Oryza sativa Japonica Group: one gene and its partners. The main gene of each other region encodes a partner of the protein of the gene in region 3 in a complex. Links are inferred from orthologs where the notes say so. Each region holds a gene or a part of one and is shown on either strand. Other genes may lie near its edges.

What was found. Proteins that work in one complex are often made in the same cells at the same time.
Region 1: THO complex subunit 2 (region 3) and THO complex subunit 1 share a complex: the UniProt entries of both Arabidopsis thaliana proteins name them as parts of the THO complex. The link is inferred for Oryza sativa Japonica Group from reciprocal best matches to the Arabidopsis thaliana genes THO2 and THO1.
Region 2: THO complex subunit 2 (region 3) and THO complex subunit 3 share a complex: the UniProt entries of both Arabidopsis thaliana proteins name them as parts of the THO complex. The link is inferred for Oryza sativa Japonica Group from reciprocal best matches to the Arabidopsis thaliana genes THO2 and TEX1.

What each region holds. Positions count from the first base shown.
Region 1 is NC_089037.1:608,093-614,109, reverse strand, and holds the start of THO complex subunit 1, read right to left. Parts: upstream 4,107-6,017; 5' UTR 3,932-4,106; coding exon 3,785-3,931; intron 3,644-3,784; coding exon 3,560-3,643; intron 3,421-3,559; coding exon 3,346-3,420; intron 3,028-3,345; coding exon 2,946-3,027; intron 2,842-2,945; coding exon 2,696-2,841; intron 2,583-2,695; coding exon 2,511-2,582; intron 2,155-2,510; coding exon 2,082-2,154; intron 1,987-2,081; coding exon 1,921-1,986; intron 1,775-1,920; coding exon 1,728-1,774; intron 1,604-1,727; coding exon 1,532-1,603; intron 1,426-1,531; coding exon 1,297-1,425; intron 1,214-1,296; coding exon 1,106-1,213; intron 597-1,105; coding exon 480-596; intron 390-479; coding exon 307-389; intron 1-306. UniProt on the Arabidopsis thaliana protein: Acts as a component of the THO subcomplex of the TREX complex which is thought to couple mRNA transcription, processing and nuclear export. Contributes to the integrity of the endogenous trans-acting small interfering RNA (ta-siRNA) pathway.
Region 2 is NC_089043.1:11,600,569-11,606,519, reverse strand, and holds the start of THO complex subunit 3, read right to left. Parts: upstream 4,107-5,951; 5' UTR 3,930-4,106; coding exon 3,819-3,929; intron 3,166-3,818; coding exon 3,070-3,165; intron 2,550-3,069; coding exon 2,420-2,549; intron 2,055-2,419; coding exon 1,966-2,054; intron 1,428-1,965; coding exon 1,359-1,427; intron 963-1,358; coding exon 905-962; intron 818-904; coding exon 706-817; intron 1-705. UniProt on the Arabidopsis thaliana protein: Acts as a component of the THO subcomplex of the TREX complex which is thought to couple mRNA transcription, processing and nuclear export. Contributes to the integrity of the endogenous trans-acting small interfering RNA (ta-siRNA) pathway.
Region 3 is NC_089035.1:40,603,057-40,608,457, reverse strand, and holds part of THO complex subunit 2, read left to right. Parts: intron 1-416; coding exon 417-491; intron 492-581; coding exon 582-629; intron 630-728; coding exon 729-797; intron 798-943; coding exon 944-1,077; intron 1,078-1,680; coding exon 1,681-1,756; intron 1,757-2,474; coding exon 2,475-2,665; intron 2,666-2,805; coding exon 2,806-2,886; intron 2,887-3,038; coding exon 3,039-3,237; intron 3,238-3,701; coding exon 3,702-3,890; intron 3,891-3,971; coding exon 3,972-4,052; intron 4,053-4,144; coding exon 4,145-4,264; intron 4,265-5,401. UniProt on the Arabidopsis thaliana protein: Acts as a component of the THO subcomplex of the TREX complex which is thought to couple mRNA transcription, processing and nuclear export.

The DNA.
Region 1 (6,017 bases), on a different chromosome or scaffold from region 3:
TTATAAAATAACTAATTTGTCTGCTCCATGGTAATTCAGATAAAGTGTATTTGAAGTTAATGCTCCCAGTGACACAATGTTTAGGATATGGTGCTCCCAGTACCATCAAAATTATAAACAGTATGCTTTGCGGGATGTATTTAATAAGACAATATCACAGTTGATAGCTGCTGTTCTTTTAGTTAGCACTAAAATCATTTCAAATCTATTGTAACTGTTACACATTATGATAGGCTAGCACATCAACAGCAGAACCAATAATAGACTAATGGCAAATTCAGTGCCAGAAGAAAGGAAGTAGCATACCGTTTTCTGACTCCAGCTTGGCCTGGTTTCTTTTCAAAAGGTTGTTTTTCAAACGCTAGACACCCATCTCGTTTCCACCATACCTTCAAGTTGAGCCAGCAGGAACAGAATCATTGGTTGTGAGAATTACTATGTTAAGATAAAATATTGCTTACATGCAGCTAAGAGGATACCCAATTTTTCTCCCGCTCAAGAATATGCTCGATGCTTTGTAGGAAGTCCTTCCCTTTTGGTGGAATTATCTCCAGAAGTTTCTTAACACGCTCTTCACAAGAATCGATTTCCTCTTTCTGATTGTAGAGAGCATAAAGTTAATACAGAGTACAGAGTGGCATTTCCTTAATCCTGATTCATTGTCTGTACTAGCCACTATAACCCAGTTGTATCAGGCAGGCAGTTGGTATTAGTTGGCACTGTTATACTAAAAACTAGCACTGCCAAGCAACTTCATACGGTTTGGACAATTTGTGCAATCAGTGTTTGTTAATACTTACATGCCCAGTAGCACACGCTGTGAGAAGTATGCTAATAAGTGATAATAATCGGTTCAACTAAAATGGGAATAGCTATCACAGACTACTTACGATCTCACATAGCATGCACAGAAAAAGGAGCTGATGGTTTCATGAGAACTAATGCTAGCTTTGCCACATTTGCTGTTGTGACTATCACAAACTCAAGAGCAATCATGTAGTAATAGGTGAATACTAAAAATTTGGTAACAGCACAATTTCAGATGCTCAAGTCTAAGTTCAACTGTCCATGGAAAACAATCAGAGAAGTCATTTAGTGGACTAACCATGCTCCCAGTTGGACCTTCTTTGTCAGTCTTTCCAGGTGCCTTGAGAAAGTCGAAGAATATGAGGCACTGGACAAGGATGTGGCGTCGAAAACTTGGGTCCTTCAACTGCAAAGAAGCAATTGCCATATGAGTCTATGAACAGTGAACAATAATAAAAAGTTAGTATCAGCTGATCAAAAAGTTCTTACCTCCAAACCCATCAATTTACTACTTGTCAGGTACTTAATATTGAAAGCAGCATCTTCCTCTTGGTCAAGATTGTTAAGTTTTCCATCATCGTCACTGAGAGGCTGAGCTTCAAATGTGCTTAGCACAACCTGCACTTTCATTAACAGTAAACATCAACGAGAAGTTCAGAATTAACATTTTGCATTGGGAAAGAAAAAGGTTCATGTAATTGTAAAAATGCGCAAAAGGATGTACCGTTAAATTGGACACAAACTTTTGCCATCTTGTCAGATTTGCAGCAGTTAAAGCAGGGTTACTAAAATGCTCCTGGAACATAAATAAAAAGACAAATGAGCATGAGAAACAATATAATGTTTAAAAGTTAAGAAGCGTGTCAGGAATCAATTATGATTTTTGAATCCCACAGAATGACAGGGTACAAAGCAGCCACCTGCAGACTCCATAGGGTATTGTAGAAGTTGAAATCAACAGAAATTCCTGAGAAAAAAAAAGGCTTACATTAGGGAGTTCTATCCTTTTACGAGAACAGTTGACTGAAGAAATAAAAAATTGAATAAAGTCACACGAAAAACACACAACAAAAAAATAATAAATATTTTTTTTATCAGGATAGTCATACTCACCATCTGTAGCGTCTTTCTCGTACTTTGTTTCATTTGATGTGTTAAAAACCCCCTTGATATTGAGAGCTGATAAAATAGAAAAACAAGGAAAATGTAGTTATGCACTCCTTGCCAATAAGGGGCTGTCTAGGAGGGGACAGAGAGATGCAAAATATGCAAACCTGAACGTTCCGATAATGGGAAGAAATGTGCTAGAAACATGATAATACGTCCGCAGAATACCACATCATTTGCCTGTGGTATTTCAGAACAAAGGGTATCAATGCTAGTACAGAACACAACCTTATAGGCTGTCAAAACTCCGAGAAATGTAAAGAATATATTTGTTCAATACTCACTAAAGCAAAAGGACCACAACATCGCAATGTACAATACGATTTTTATGATATGTCCAATAGCTTGGTATTTTTACAGTAAATTTGTCATTACCAAAGATCTTACTGAACAGTGAGCACAGCAGTCAGCTTAGTACTTGATAAAACTGCTCAGCACAGAAAATAAGGAAAGCACAGAATGATTTCAATCTACAGACATTCGGACTACGACAAAGTAGATAGCAGAGTATGCATAAGAAAACAGATGAATCTAACCTTTGATAATCTTCGAAGTAGTTGGTTGCAAGTCCTTAGCATAACAAGCTTGCCACGCCCGAAAAGCTCTTGCTACAAACAACTCAATGAGGTAATCCCCATTAGCAAAGCAACTGCATACATCATATGTGCCTTACAAGCACCAATTTAACAAAATGTAGTACAAAAGACAAATTCTCAATTACCTTCCCCAAGACATCTTGTTTGCTCTCAATATATCCAAATACATCTTTGCAGTCTTTGATAGTTGACATTTCTGTCAGATCTTCTAACAGCTGGAATACCATACCTCCCTCAACATGCCCTCTTTCACAAAGGTAAAGCACGATATCTAACATGAAAAAAAAGAAGATCTCTCAAGAGAAAACAGATAAATCTCTAAATAGTGCTCAGGAACCAATGTGAGAAAGGAGCAGTAAAAAGGTTCCAACTAACCAAGAAGACGTGTTATCGGGCAATTATTTTCTTCATTATCCCCATATTGCATTATTCTTTTACCAGATTGAACTGCAGATGACTACAAATATAGATATGAAACGAAATCAGCAACAAGCATTAATCTATAGGGCTGCATGACAGGCAAGTAAGGATTGCACAATTTGAACAATAGAACTACCTATCGTTCAGGTACATGGTAAATACTTGCAGACGGTTATTAAACAGAAGATAGAAACTTAATGAAATGTATGGAGAAAGGAGAAGTTGCATTACGCTAACTTGTAAATGTGAGACAGTGACCCCAAAAAAAAAATCATCTACTACCACATTACTTTGTAATAGTGTTGTTACAGAGAACAAAGACTAGTGCAGGCACATGCGTGGTAAGGAAGCTTACTGCAAGTTCCTGCAGCAATTTGCGTAGAGCATTTTCTAAGGATTGGTTCTCCTCCAGAACCAACACTGTTTGCTTCTGCAAAAAATCAGATGAGCAACTAACTTAAAAACGTGTGTATGCACAAGACAACGCAAGGAACATCAAGTACAGTAATCCATCATCTATGAGAAAGCTACAAGCCTACAAGCATGGCTGACTGTGGTGCATTGTGTACCTGAGGTTTAATCGCATCCTGAACGGCCTGAAGGGCAAAAGCTTCAGGGGATTCAGTCCTAGACAGCGCATCCCGGAACACTCCCTGTGAACAAACGAGATTTCTCAAATCTACTGCACAACACAGAAATAATTCCGCGCAAATTGACAGAAAACCCTCGGTTCATGACATCCTCCCACACTGGCACCCCCGGGGGCATACTAGATAGGAGAGTGGACAACTCACGATGATGCGGTCGCGGTCGGTGTGGCTGGAGACGGCGGCGGAGGTGGCGGCGGCGAGCGCGGAGGAAGAGGAGGCCGGTGGCCGGTCCTTGCTGAGGAGGATGCGGAGCCCGGCGTTCGACGGCAGCGGCGGCGTGGGCTCCGCCATGGCGTGGTGGGTCAGAATGGAAGGGTAGGTTTCGGCACACTGGCTGGAGCCTCTCCCTCCCCGCTTCCAAGCTGGACTAGTATCCCACGGCGGCGGGCTCCGGCCTCCGGCGGCGCGCAGGCGACGGCGGATGCGGGGTTGAAGCCTCCTAGGGGATCGGGGAAGAAGGTGGGGTAGGGGATGCTGTCTTGTGGGCCGCGTTTAGGAATTACTGGGATTTTGGGTTGTTATTGGGCCGATCTATATCAGACGGGAATAAGTTCGCATTAGATCCCGTAATTTGCCACGAGGATAACACTTTGGTTGGGGTTGGAGAAGCTAGCCGGTGATAATCTAGATAAGCTTCTTCTATCTTCTAGTTCATTTTTAGATTTTACAACTATATCTTCTTAAAATCTGAGTGAAAATTTAGACTGTTTGTGAGAGCTTTTAAAAAAATCTCCAGTTGCCATAAACTTCCCCAAACATGCCTTGAATTCGTCCCGAACCGAAATACCAACGCTACAGCTCATCCTTCAACTCACAATACCGTATCAACTTTGGTCCCACGATAGTATGGTGGCTAATTTTAAGTTTTAACTGATGTGGGAAGTAGGACTCACGTGGACCTCACACAATAGCGACAACTCTTTGTCTCTCTTCCCTGTTCTCCAGGAGTACCGAGATCCAATCCTCATCGCCGCACCGCTCGTGCTGTCGGTGCTCTTGTTCGTCTCCATCCCGGTCCTCGCAGAATGCTTGAGCGCCTCCTCCCGCCCAAGAAGCTCCCCGGCCATCCCGGACAGCGACGAGTTTTAGCCTTTTAGGGGCTATTCAGATTGTAGCCGAAATAAACCTTACTAATTTTTGGCAATTTGGTAATATTGTCAAAATTTTGGCAGGATTTCTTATGCATTTACTAAAGTTTGGCAAGAATCTAAATGGATGCACATATTTAACAACTCTACCAAAAAAAAAAGTATAGTTTGAAAAGACATCAATCTGAACGAGCCCTTAAACTCGACGACAAATTAAGGACCTTAAATGAACTTATTTCTATCAGACGTCAACGATGTAGCCCAGCACATCCACACCATGCGTGTTCTTGCTGTCACCGCGGCCACATCCTCCTCCTCTAGAAGAGGGGATAAAGAACTTGATGATGGAGGAGAGATTCGCGGAGAAATCTACGTCTTGACCGGACTTCTCCCGTGGAAGTTTCTTTGCAATCAGTATACTAATGCAAGCGACGACGAGATCAACAATTTTCTTTTTTCGCCATGACATTATTATTCATACTCTCATCCAATAATGTCCAAGTCTGAAGCCTCGAGTAGCTAGTTCATGTGTCGTGATTATGGATTCAAGAACTAGCAGTGCAGACAAAATGGTCAGGTCAGTCTCACAGAAGACCAAAGATGTGCAATACTAACATTGTTTCAAACTACTACGTATTTCGTCACAAAATCTGCAGATACAATTTTTTGCAACAGCGGCACAATCTGGTTTGTGCGCTAAACATCATAGTACAAGTGTACAACCAAAGGGCATGTATCAATAACATGGATTGATTAAACTTATGCTCCGTTCATACTCAAACCAGCGACTTCATATGCCGACAGAGAGAATTGGGAACAGCATAAGCCAACAAATACTACAACAACTGGGAAACCATCTGATCATTATACAACCAAACCACAAAAGGTTTACCTAAAGTGTTTACAAAATGCAAGGTACACTGCGCTAAAGCTCCTAAATCATTGGAACAAACATAAAGTAGGGTAAATGCAGGACATGCAATTAATTTAGATCTCTGAGGGAGGTTTGACAGTATGAAAACCAAACCATCAACCACATGGCATACTGATGCAATGCAGTAAAGCCAATGAACTGGAATTGAGTTATTAGGAGTAAACCAAAATTATTAGAGCAGTTCAAGAGTACACACACTACAATCTCCAACATTCTGAGCAAAAGCATCCATGATAGGTAGAGGTGTAAGGGGAAAAAACAAAACCAAGAACAAGTGACAGAAGTCAGTTTCCAAACTAGTGTTTGGCACATTGGCTGTTGGTTACACATGTACAAAGCCATGGAGAAGTGTAGA
Region 2 (5,951 bases), on a different chromosome or scaffold from region 3:
GTAGAAGGCAACAAGTGGCAAACTATTTTGCACCCTTTCTTTTACATGCTAGTAAAGGTGCCTGTTAGTTGCAACGGGAGATGGGGGAAGGACGTGCTATTCAGTTTTTCTATCCCAGTTTTTTACCAGTGGGGCGTTTTTATATGTGGGTCCACTTCTTTTGGAGGGCTGTTTTTTTTTTTCTGCGGGTAAACAAAACTTCACTCCTGATAGGAAGCATGCACAGACGAACGAAACTTGCCTTTCAGAGTAGTAGAGAAACACTGAATTCAGTGTCCCATTTATATTTAGGCATGGGTCATCATAGAATCACTTATGGCTAGGTGCTATCACAGGTGAGATTCACTTAAAGGTAGCTTGGACAGAAAGTTCTTTTTTTTACATATACCAGTATCACTATCAACTGTCAAAAGACCGAGATAGAATACAACATTAGTAATACCCAAAATATAGTATGTCAAATAACTTCACTCATGCCTATGCTTTATATTACCTTGAAATAAAAAAAATCGTTAACTACATAAAACAACTAGCATCAGTATAAGGCATTAAGAGAATTAGAGTTCAAAGCGAAGTCAAACAGCATATAGAGAACCTAATGATTATAGCATAAAGTTCAAAAGATAATGTAGTTACAATGAAATGTCATTGGCTGAGATGTGAGTTGATGTTGAACAAATGAGCGAAGACAGAAAAAATCATCACCTATCAAGGGGATCCATTCCAATGCAATAACAACCCGCTGTATGAGCATTCAATTTGCCAACCACATGAAGGGTGTCATCAAGGGAAGGATCACCAAATACCTCAACATTTCCTACATAAACAGCAAACAATGTAATTACACTGATACCAACTGGTGTGATATTGAAACTTAAAACAACATATGGGTTTTGTATCTTACCAAGTCCAGTAGTGATGAAGAATAAATCTCCAGTTTTGTTCCATGCAATCTCATTTATCTGAGGAACAACAAATCAATAATTTACTTCAGAAAAGTTAACTGATCTGAGGAGCTATATGATTCATTTTTATCAGTAGCAGGTGTACGGGCATTTAGCTAGTTGAAATAGAAAATTTACAAAACTGCAACATAAGTAATGCAGCAAATGAAATTAAAGTACATCGAATAGTTAGGTAATTCACACTCAGTAGTCAGTACTAATTCAAATACCAGCAGGCAATTTTCCTGTTCCAGACAAAGATGCACATGCTGCCGACTTATGCCCACTCTACTTTTTCTCAAAAGGTATATGACTATATGTGCATGTTCATTCAGAGCAGCGAAAGATTCCAAAAGGAAGAAGAAAATTGCTAGAAGAATGTTTCAACAATTCAAACCTTCAAGTGGAAAGTACCTCATAATTAAACTTAAATTTGTGAAGGGCTTTTAGCTTCCGAACATCCACTATTGTCAACTCATCCTCCTGCAAATCATAGTGACAGCTGTTACTACACTTGTACAATTTTATAAAACTAGAACTCACAAAGTAAACACATTGGTGTACGCGGGACCTTGCGAACTAACTTGTAAACTTTATAAAAATAGGTTTACTACAATTATTATAAAATTTACACACCACTCCCCAGTCCCCATGCTCAATAACACTTTACTAACTTTGCATAGCAAAAAAAGTAAATAATTCCATCTAATTTAGGATCAATATGTATATATTCAAGTGTGTCCATACTGAGCTATGTTGTATTGATACTTATACAGAGAGCATGTCAAACACAAGAATGAACATTGCAATTTAGATGCTAATTTGCCAAATAACTCATCACTCAATCTAATATAAATCAGATTATAGTTACACATTTCTCTTTGGAAAGAATTTTATAAATTCCTTTCAAAATATTGTAACCCTCTTCTGGCATGATATATGCAAATCAAAACCAGTTCCTTAGTCATAAATGACTACCGTTCTTGAAGTTAACAGGGATAACAGCCTAGGCAATACATACCTTGTTTCCAACAGCTATTTGAGTACCACCATGTTTATAAGTGATATTGATGTTTTCTCCACTAAGTTCGACGACTTGACATTTTCCACCTGGAAAAGAACACGTCAAACAGTTTGAGAAATAGCGGGTCAAATAAATAATATAATTTTAAAAGGCAAACTGCAGGCCCAAATCTTGTAGAGTTATAAATAGAGAATCAAAAGTATGATGTACAATCCTATGAAAAAAATCGAAGTACAACTAAAAAAATTCTGAAACTAACTTTCAGGTAGAGTCACTACACAAAAGAATAAGACATCTTGTCTGGTAACAACAAGTTCATTGTAAATGGAACATAGGGATTGAACAAAGTGACAAAAAGGGATTCATCAATTTCAGAGAGAAGCTGAGAATGCTGAACACAACTGTGGATATCTTAGTTCTTTAACCTTCAAAGATGAAGGGAACCACTTACTCCGTGCATCCCAGAGGCGAATTGACTTGTCAGCAGCTGCTGTAGCAACTGTATCAGGATGCTTCGGATCCCAGCAGAGCTGATCTACACAATCTGTGTGGCCTTTCAATTCAATGTCTTTAACCTTGGACTGTGCAATATAAAAACCCTAATCAGCACAGTACTGACTTGGTACTTCCAGGGAAATAGAAACCATCTGGGGTTTTTTCCCCTCCTACGTTCCAACCAAAAATGTCTTAGTGTTCTCAAAACAATATAATTTAGCTTAGAATTTATTTTCCTCAAAACCGCAGGAGGGCTGCGCTTCCTTTCATTAAGAAGAAGAAATAAGTACAACTGAGGGATCCAAAAGAACCCCTAGCTAAGAAATCATTCACAATTTCACATTAAATAGCTCAAACATATGTCTCAGAGACACAGGCTATGGTATGCTTAAGTGTGATTACTGTCTGAGTTTCTATAATTTTAAATTATACAGCGGGAGATATTTCCAATTAATCATCATGCTTATCTTTCAAATTTATAGAAATGTTCATAAAAAAAGGGTGACAGTTATTCATAGTGAATGACAATAAATGCGTTTATCTAATAATTCCATAATAACAATGAAGGTTATTTTGTTTGCAATCAGGAAAGGAGAGAATGTTTACATGGCCATGGGGATCGATACTCCATACACGTGCAGTATGATCAATAGAGCCTGAAGCAAGCTTCATGCCTAGGCAGTTCCATGCTACAGAGTGCACCTAACAGTAAAACAAAAGATCAGAATTATACAAAATTTAAGGCTGATTATGTATGTAAGATAGATAAAAAAGAAGGCAAAAAGCGACAGAACCAGTTAAATGCTGCACCTCCATGTGTGGAAGGATTATTTAGAAAAACAAGAAACAGAATTCAAGAAAGAAACAGAGAAATATCGTTGTACTATGATTCTTTCTGCAAGTAAGATTTTTTTTTCCCTTTGAATTCTTCCCCTCAGAGGAGTAGCAACTTTACAAAGTCAGACAAGAAGTCCCTTTTCGTGAAACCAAATTCCTTCAAAAATTAGGAGTAATTATGACCAGGAATCATATTTGACAATGCGCTCATTCACCAGCTCCCAGAAGGAAAGCAACCAACCAAAGCTTCATTCAATCTCAACATGGCTTAGCCCTAGAGCAAAAGAATCAGCATATATACGGCATGAACGCGAGGAATCAATCACTATATCCTGCTCTAGAATTAGAAACAAAACCGTACGTGTGAACCAAAGATGGATGCATTTTCGTCCTAATTTTTGCTTGTAACATCCGGATTTTAGGGCTTCCCCCTCGCAGGACTTTTGAGGGTTTAGGACCTCATGAGAAAAAAACTTATCCCCGCGTAGGATTGGTGAGGGGGGAATCGAAAAGGTTACCTTCTTCTTGTGGCCGAAATACTCCCTCGACACCAGGTTCTTCAGGTTCATCCCCGGCGTCGAGCTTCCGCCACCGCCGCCCCGCCGTCTGTCGTCTTCTTTCCCCTCCATTGTCCCCGCGGACTGGGGCACGGGTCTGGTTTTGCTATTCCCCACTCACCGCGTCACGAGGCGCAAGGCGGCGGCGGCGGTGGCGGTGGCGGCGGCGGCGGGCGCGAGACGGAGGAGGGAGAGCCGGGGACGGCGTCGGCGGGGAAGAGGAGAGGGTTTTCGCAGAAACGTCCTTCTACTTTTTTGTTTATTCATGCCACAAGTTCATGCGTTATCCTTACCATGGAGCCATGGACACATCCTTTGGTTTTTGTTTAATTGAATCCATGCCATTGTAAATATACCGATAAATGTTATTACAATTCGTCTTTTTTAATTGTGACATTGAAATTTTATAAAATTAGAACCATGCCACTATAGTAATATTTTCCATCCATCTTCGTCTTCTTAGATTCATCTTTCCCCTCTTTTTTTTTCTCATCTCTCTCCACCACCTCTTTGGAGGGGACAGCCGCTGCGGCTGTTGGCAACTTTTTGTGACAAGTCGACAATTACGATCGCAGCACCTAAACGCCTTGCGGTGATATGGAGTCGCCAACCACCTCGATCTAGCCAAACGGCCAAATCAAGATGGGTTTTGTAGAAAAACAGCTAAACCGGCTAGCGGAGCCGATTTAGAGATCAAAAATCAGCCTCTAAGCCGATTTAGATCGATATGAGGATAACTAACCTGTCTCATAGGCAATACGGAAGGTTTTCAGGACAAATCTACAAAGAGGTGTCGCACTCTCGCAGCGGCGGCGGACGGTTTACGGCGCAAACCGACAAAGATGGATTAAAACTAGGGTAAAATAGAAAACATGGTAAAAGAACGATTCAAGTAAATTGTATTCGGGGGTTTTACAATGAACCGGCCTTGTCCCTTAAATAGGGGTTGGTCTTACCCTCTACAGGCCCTTCTCCATATCCAACTCGGGATAGAAACCAAAGGAAACACGAAACCTACCTTCCCAGGCAAGGAAACCCGAGACCCGACGAAAACAAACTCGGACTCGGACCCTGACGGTTTGACCGCCCACATACCTGCGGTCAGACCGGCCCTACTAGACGGTCAGACCGCCCACACACCTGTGGTCTAACCGGCCCTGTGAAGGAAACCCGTCACTTTCCAAACTTTGGCAATTTTCCTCTATTTCGTCCATAGGTGCCAAATTTGGGTGTAAACACATGCCCCCCTGCCTTTTTTGTAAACATACGTGAACCTAAAAGCATAGAACATGTTATGTCAGGGTGATAATCCAATTACCGCCCATAGGACTTCCTAAGCATCTTGCCAAATGCTCGGGAAATATTTCTTCAAGTATTTCCCATTAATTGCTCTCTGAAAACACCGTCTTGAAGTGTCTTCATCTCCTTCAAAGTCTTTAAACGCTTGTCGATGACGTCTTTAAAATTGTTTCCCATCAAGGTCTTGTAATCTTCAACCGACAAGTCGTCTTGCTTGAAATACCGAAGAGAGCCAAGATTTACCCCAACTGGCAAAACGACAATTTCAACAATGTTTTATTACTCAACTCGGCTTATCCATTAGCCTGAGCGTAGTAAAGAGAAGAACTCATCAACTTAATAGCATAAGATTCGGCAAAACTTCTCACTCCGTACAAGTAATATTCTCGAGCGGCACGGCTTCGGCCCACTTAGTGAAGTAATCCATTGCAACTAGCACGAACCAACGCCCTTTTGATGACGAAGGATAAATTTGACCAATGAAATCCAAAGCTCAACCTCAGAACGGCCATACTTTAATGATAGGATTCAACACAGCGGTAGGCGCTAATTGAACATTGCCGATCCGTTAACAAGCTTCACTCCCTCTATAACATTTGAAACAATCATCAATTATTTTCGGCCAATGAAACCACACTCTCCTAAGCAACCAATTTATCTTACGGGCCGATTGATGAATTTCACAAATCCCTTCATGTACTACTCTCCTAGCAACTTTAAACTGATCATTATCTAAGTAATACTCCATCTATTTTTCGGCGATATAATATTTGAGCGCTTGCCGCCGAATCTTCT
Region 3 (5,401 bases):
TGAGTATTTTCTTAGGAAACTTCAGAAATCAGAACCACTATATTTTCTGCACGCTGTTTGAAAGGAGTAACAGAATCTAGAAAACTGTGTTTGGTGTGTGTCCAGTTTCTACACTCCCTTAAACGACCTAATTATTGTTTGACCTTAGTTATACAGGTTATAGTTCATGAGGTATCTACAAATAAATTAGTTTGTTTTGATGTTCAATTTGTAACTGATCTAAAACAGTCTAGTTGGATCAGAAAATAGTGGATAGCACAGTATCCCTATTCTTTTGCAGCAATTTTTTTGACACATGTTCCACTAGAAGGCACACCTGGATTTTTTTTGACACATCTTCAGTTAATTTCTGTGATGATTTACTGAAGTTCCGTTGTTTTTAACCTTCTTATCATATTTGCTTCTGGATTGTTCAGGTAACCCTCCTTTGTCAAATTGGTTCAGATTTGGCTTGTCAAAATTCTTCTTCAGTTACTATGAGCATTATAAAGGTGTGCTCTAGAATATTCCTTTCTTCCTCCTGTACTGTTATTTAAGCATTTGAGCATCTTTGTGATATAACATTATGTTTTTTATGGCAGTCATTGATTGGGCATTTTGACCTGGACCCAAATCGTGTGTTTGATATTGTGAGTTTTGATTTGCTGTCCACTTTTTTGTTATGCATTGTACTGTGTGAAAGCGTGTTACCGAAAGCATGTAGTGATGTTATTCTTGTATTCTGCTAGGTTCTGGAATGTTTTGAGCTCTATCCGGATAATACCATCTTTTGTCAGCTTATACCTCTTTTCCCTAAGGTATTCCTTTATCATACTTCATAGAGTATACTTCATACTTCATATGGTTATATTCCTTTTAATATAATAATGTAAACCTCCTCTAAAGATTATTAGCATACTTCATACAATATTTCAGCCTATTTTACTACTTCCTTTTATTGCAGTCCCATGCTGCTCAAATATTGGGGTTCAAGTTCCAATATTACCAACGATTGGATGTCAATAGCACTGTTCCACCTGGGCTTTTCCGGATAGCAGCTTTGTTGGTCAAATCTGGTTTTATTGACCTTGATAGCCTGTAAGTTTACTAAATCTCCTTGACTTCCTGATGGTTACAGTGATGTTAGACATCACCCAAAACAAAATCTGCAATTTGTATTCTTTATAAAAATATCTACTATGCTTTAAGCACACTTTTTTTTTTTAAAAAAACACATACATCCTCTAATAAGGTTTATGTCCATGTAAATTAATGTATGCATGTAATTAATGCCTTCGTATTGGGATTTACTCTCCAACTTTGGACTCTACTTTTTCTTCAGTGTTAACTCTTTACATTGGCTCCTGTTCTTTAATAACAAGAATTTTTTTAATTTCCTCTGATTCTGTGTGGCACTCTACCATTATCGATTTTGCTCAAAATGTATTAGTACAGCTACTGGTGTGTTAAAGGTTACACTGATTATGGTTTCAAGTTATCAATTTATCATTATGATTGCTCATAATGTATTAGTGCGGCTACTGGTGCAATCATGGTTTCTAGTTATGGATTGTTTTTACGTTCCTGATTCCTACTACACTATATGAGCATGACTTTTTTTTGCCACAATATATCTACTTGGGAATGGCCTTTCAACTCCAACTCTCATGAGTCATGACTTATATCTGAATTGTATTGCAGCTATGCTCATTTACTTCCAAATGATGATGAGGCATTTGAGCATTTTGACTCCTTCGTCACGAGGAAAATCGATGAGGTTAATATTCATTTTGTCCTCCTGAAGTTCATGTTTTTGGAAATATTTGCTATATCCAGGCATTGTGAAAGAGAGTTGTATGTATGCCATCTCATTACAGATTTAAACTTGAAATGATAAAAGTACAAATTCAATTGATAGTGCGACACCAAGCCCCCCCTCCCCTTCTTTTTATTTTGCAATTTTGCTATGTAACAAAATGAAATCCCACTGTTTTAAAAGAGGAAGAAAGACAATGTTGTAAATCATGATTCTGTATATGCAGGAAATAACACCATGATAATGCATAACCTTTGGGATTAGGATAAAAAAACGATCTGGGGATATAGGGATTAGAGGATATATGCAAAATGAATGTGTGGGGAATAAAATCGAAAGTAACATTTTGGATTGACAGATATGTAGATGTTGGCTTTATTGTGGTGTATGGGTATTTATCTTTAAATATAGGTACCTTCTGTTAACAAGATGTAACCCTTACGTAGCAAAACAACTTTGGTTGTGGAATGGCGGAACTTTATTTTTTTGTAGCTGAAAAATTTCAAGTTGAGCATGCAAATTTGTTCATACATTCCGGTGAAGTCATTTCAGAATCTATCAGGTTAAATGGTTCTGTAATTGAAAATAATCAGGATTTGTTTGTTTGTACTTCAGCACTTTAATGGTTGTGGTGTATTTTGCAATTTCTGGAACTTAGCCCTCTCTTTCTTAATTCCAGGCTAGTAATATAGGCAAAATAAATCTTGCTGCCACTGGGAAGGACCTTATGGATGACGAGAAGCAAGAAATAACTATTGATTTGTACACAGCATTGGAGATGGAAAATGATATAATTGATGAGCGAGCCCCTGAGATTGAAAAGAACCAGAAACTTGGACTTCTTCTTGGTTTCCTGTCAGTTCATGATTGGTAATGTTCATGTGTTCCATCAATTTATTTTGTCTGCTTGCTATTTGGTTAAATATATAATTGCATTTAGCAGTTAATACATCTATCCTTTTTTGTACTTATTATACTTTTGGTAACTGAATTCTACCATTGTTTGGCAGGGATCATGCACAACTCCTCTTTGAGCGTCTTGCACGCCTAAATCCTGTTGAGCATGTTGAAATTTGTGATAGTTTATTTAGGTTTGTCAACTTTCTCTGCATATGCAAGCATCCTCAACATTACTTGTAGTTCTCTGCAAACAGGGCATATGATGGTGCTTGATACATATGCCCTTGTATTACAACACATTCCCTGGTTAATATTATTCAATTTTGTTTTTTTGTTCATGCAGACTTATTGAAAGGAGTATTTCTTCAGTCTATGATATAATTTTCCAAACACATTATAAGATGCCTCGTAACCCTGTTTATATGATGGACACATCACCTTCCTCTTCACAAAGTTTTTCGGTTGATCCGCCGAAAGAGTTTTTCCAAATGCTTTCTGCTTGTGGACCATACCTTCATCGTAACACACAATTATTTCAGAAGGTAGTGTTGTTTATTTTCTCTGCTAATATTCTCATAGCAGTTCATGCTTGAACATGACATGCTTCCGGCTTCTGTTTTTGACTGGAGATTTTCTCTAATACCCCTATCACATGTATTATTTGTCTTGTGTTGTTAAAATTTGTGTAAACTAGTTATCATGAGTTCTTTTATCCAATCAATGGTTTTATGGTTGCCATGAGGCTTGTGACCAGATTTTTGTTTTCTGGCTTGCATTGTTGTAATAATTCAATAAGTAAAAAACACCGTTCTTGTTGCTTAACTACTACAGATAATTTATAATGTCTTGTAGCTTATAGTGCAAATGGGTTCTATTGACAAGTTGTTGCATATTCAAACGAACTATCCTATTATTAAATGTTTCCATTATGCAGTATCACCTGGAGTATCTATTAACAAGTTGTTGCATGTTTTACCTAATGTAGCATTCTCCATGTTAACTACAGGTTTGCAGAGTACTTAAAGCGTACCATCTGTCAGCAAAAGAGTCAATCCGTACAGCAGGTGTAATGTCTCCAGACTCGCGAATTGAAGAAGCACTTGGATCGTGCTTGCTACCATCATTGCAGCTTATACCTGCAAATCCTGCTGTTGATATGGAGATATGGGGAGTTCTTTCTCTTCTTCCTTATGAGGTTCGTAGTATTGTTCATAGTTTGTTTATTTGCCCAATTCATTTGTAAACAATGTTTTACAATTGTGCCACTCATTTTTAGACCCGTTATCGCTTATATGGTGAATGGGAGAAGGATACCGAACAAAACCCAATTGTCCTTGCTGCAAGGCAAACTGCAAAGGTTGATTATTTATTCCATGACTGAGTTTTCTTATGTTTCCCCTATAATTTTATCTTCAGCTGTCAATTAACTGTCCTTATTTTTTTGATTAGTTGGATACCAGAAGGCTCTTAAAGCGGCTTGCTAAGGAAAATCTGAAGCAACTTGGCCGCATGGTGGCTAAACTTGCCCATGCAAATCCAATGACAGTACTTCGGACAATTATCCAACAGGTATCTTGAATGAACAAGTGCATATAGTTGCTACTCCCTCCATTTCATATTATAAGTAGCTTTGTCTTTTTTTCTGGTCAAACTTAAAGTAGTGAAACAAAACATATTACCAAAATATATTCAATGTTAGGTTTAATGAAACTGATTTGGTGTTTTAGATGTTGCTAAATTTTTCTATAAACTTGGTCAAACTTAAAAAAGTTTAACTAGGAAAAAGTCAAAGTGACTTATAATATGAATCGGGGGGAGTACTTGGGATAAAGTTATTCAAAATATGTATATAACATTGCAGTTAAACACAATGTTTTTCTTTGGAAACATGAGATGTAACTACTTCCATTAGACCGGCGACTGTTGTTATTTACTTATTTTAGTAAATGATTTATTCCTCCTTGTTCCTTTTTTACTTCTCTGGTTTGGAGCTAGCTGATCCATGCCACATCTTCTTACAGCTTAATCCTAACTGCATTTATCCCCACAATTTTTTTTACACCAACAACCTGTGATTAGCAAATGCAAACTTCTAGCATTGGCACCCTTCACTAGCTCGTTGTGCATTAGATGCTCTTACTTTGACAATTGCCCTCTTAGCAGTGACATTTCTAGGTGTATGATAATCTCATACTGTTGGTATGCACTGGACCCCTCAAATAATTCCCTTCCAGAGGGGGACATTTTGAACTCTTTCATGTTAGTCTCTGTGAATTAGCACAATCATTATTGATTGTAAGTTTGTAACTATGCCACCAAACTTTTTTAGGAGTTAATTTTTCCAAAGGAACAGAGATCTTTTTATTGGGTTAATCTATATCTAGTGATTTTGGAAGTTCACCTTACGGTGTTCTTTTCTCCCCTTTCCTAGCTTCTACTCAATCGTTTTCTGCGCGCATGCTTCCCAAACTGCTAAATGGTGCTCTTTTTTTTGCAAAAAAAAAGTTATATAGGAAAGTTGTTTCTAAAAATCATATTAATCCATTTTTCAAGTTTTTTAGCTAATATTTAATTAATCATGCGTTAATTCGTCGCTCCGTTTTAGGGGGAAGTGTTCCCAACCATCATAAAAGAACGCACCCTTGATATCCCTTGTTGCTCTTTTTTTGGATGGGATTTATTATAATTGCTTTATTCCAGAAATTC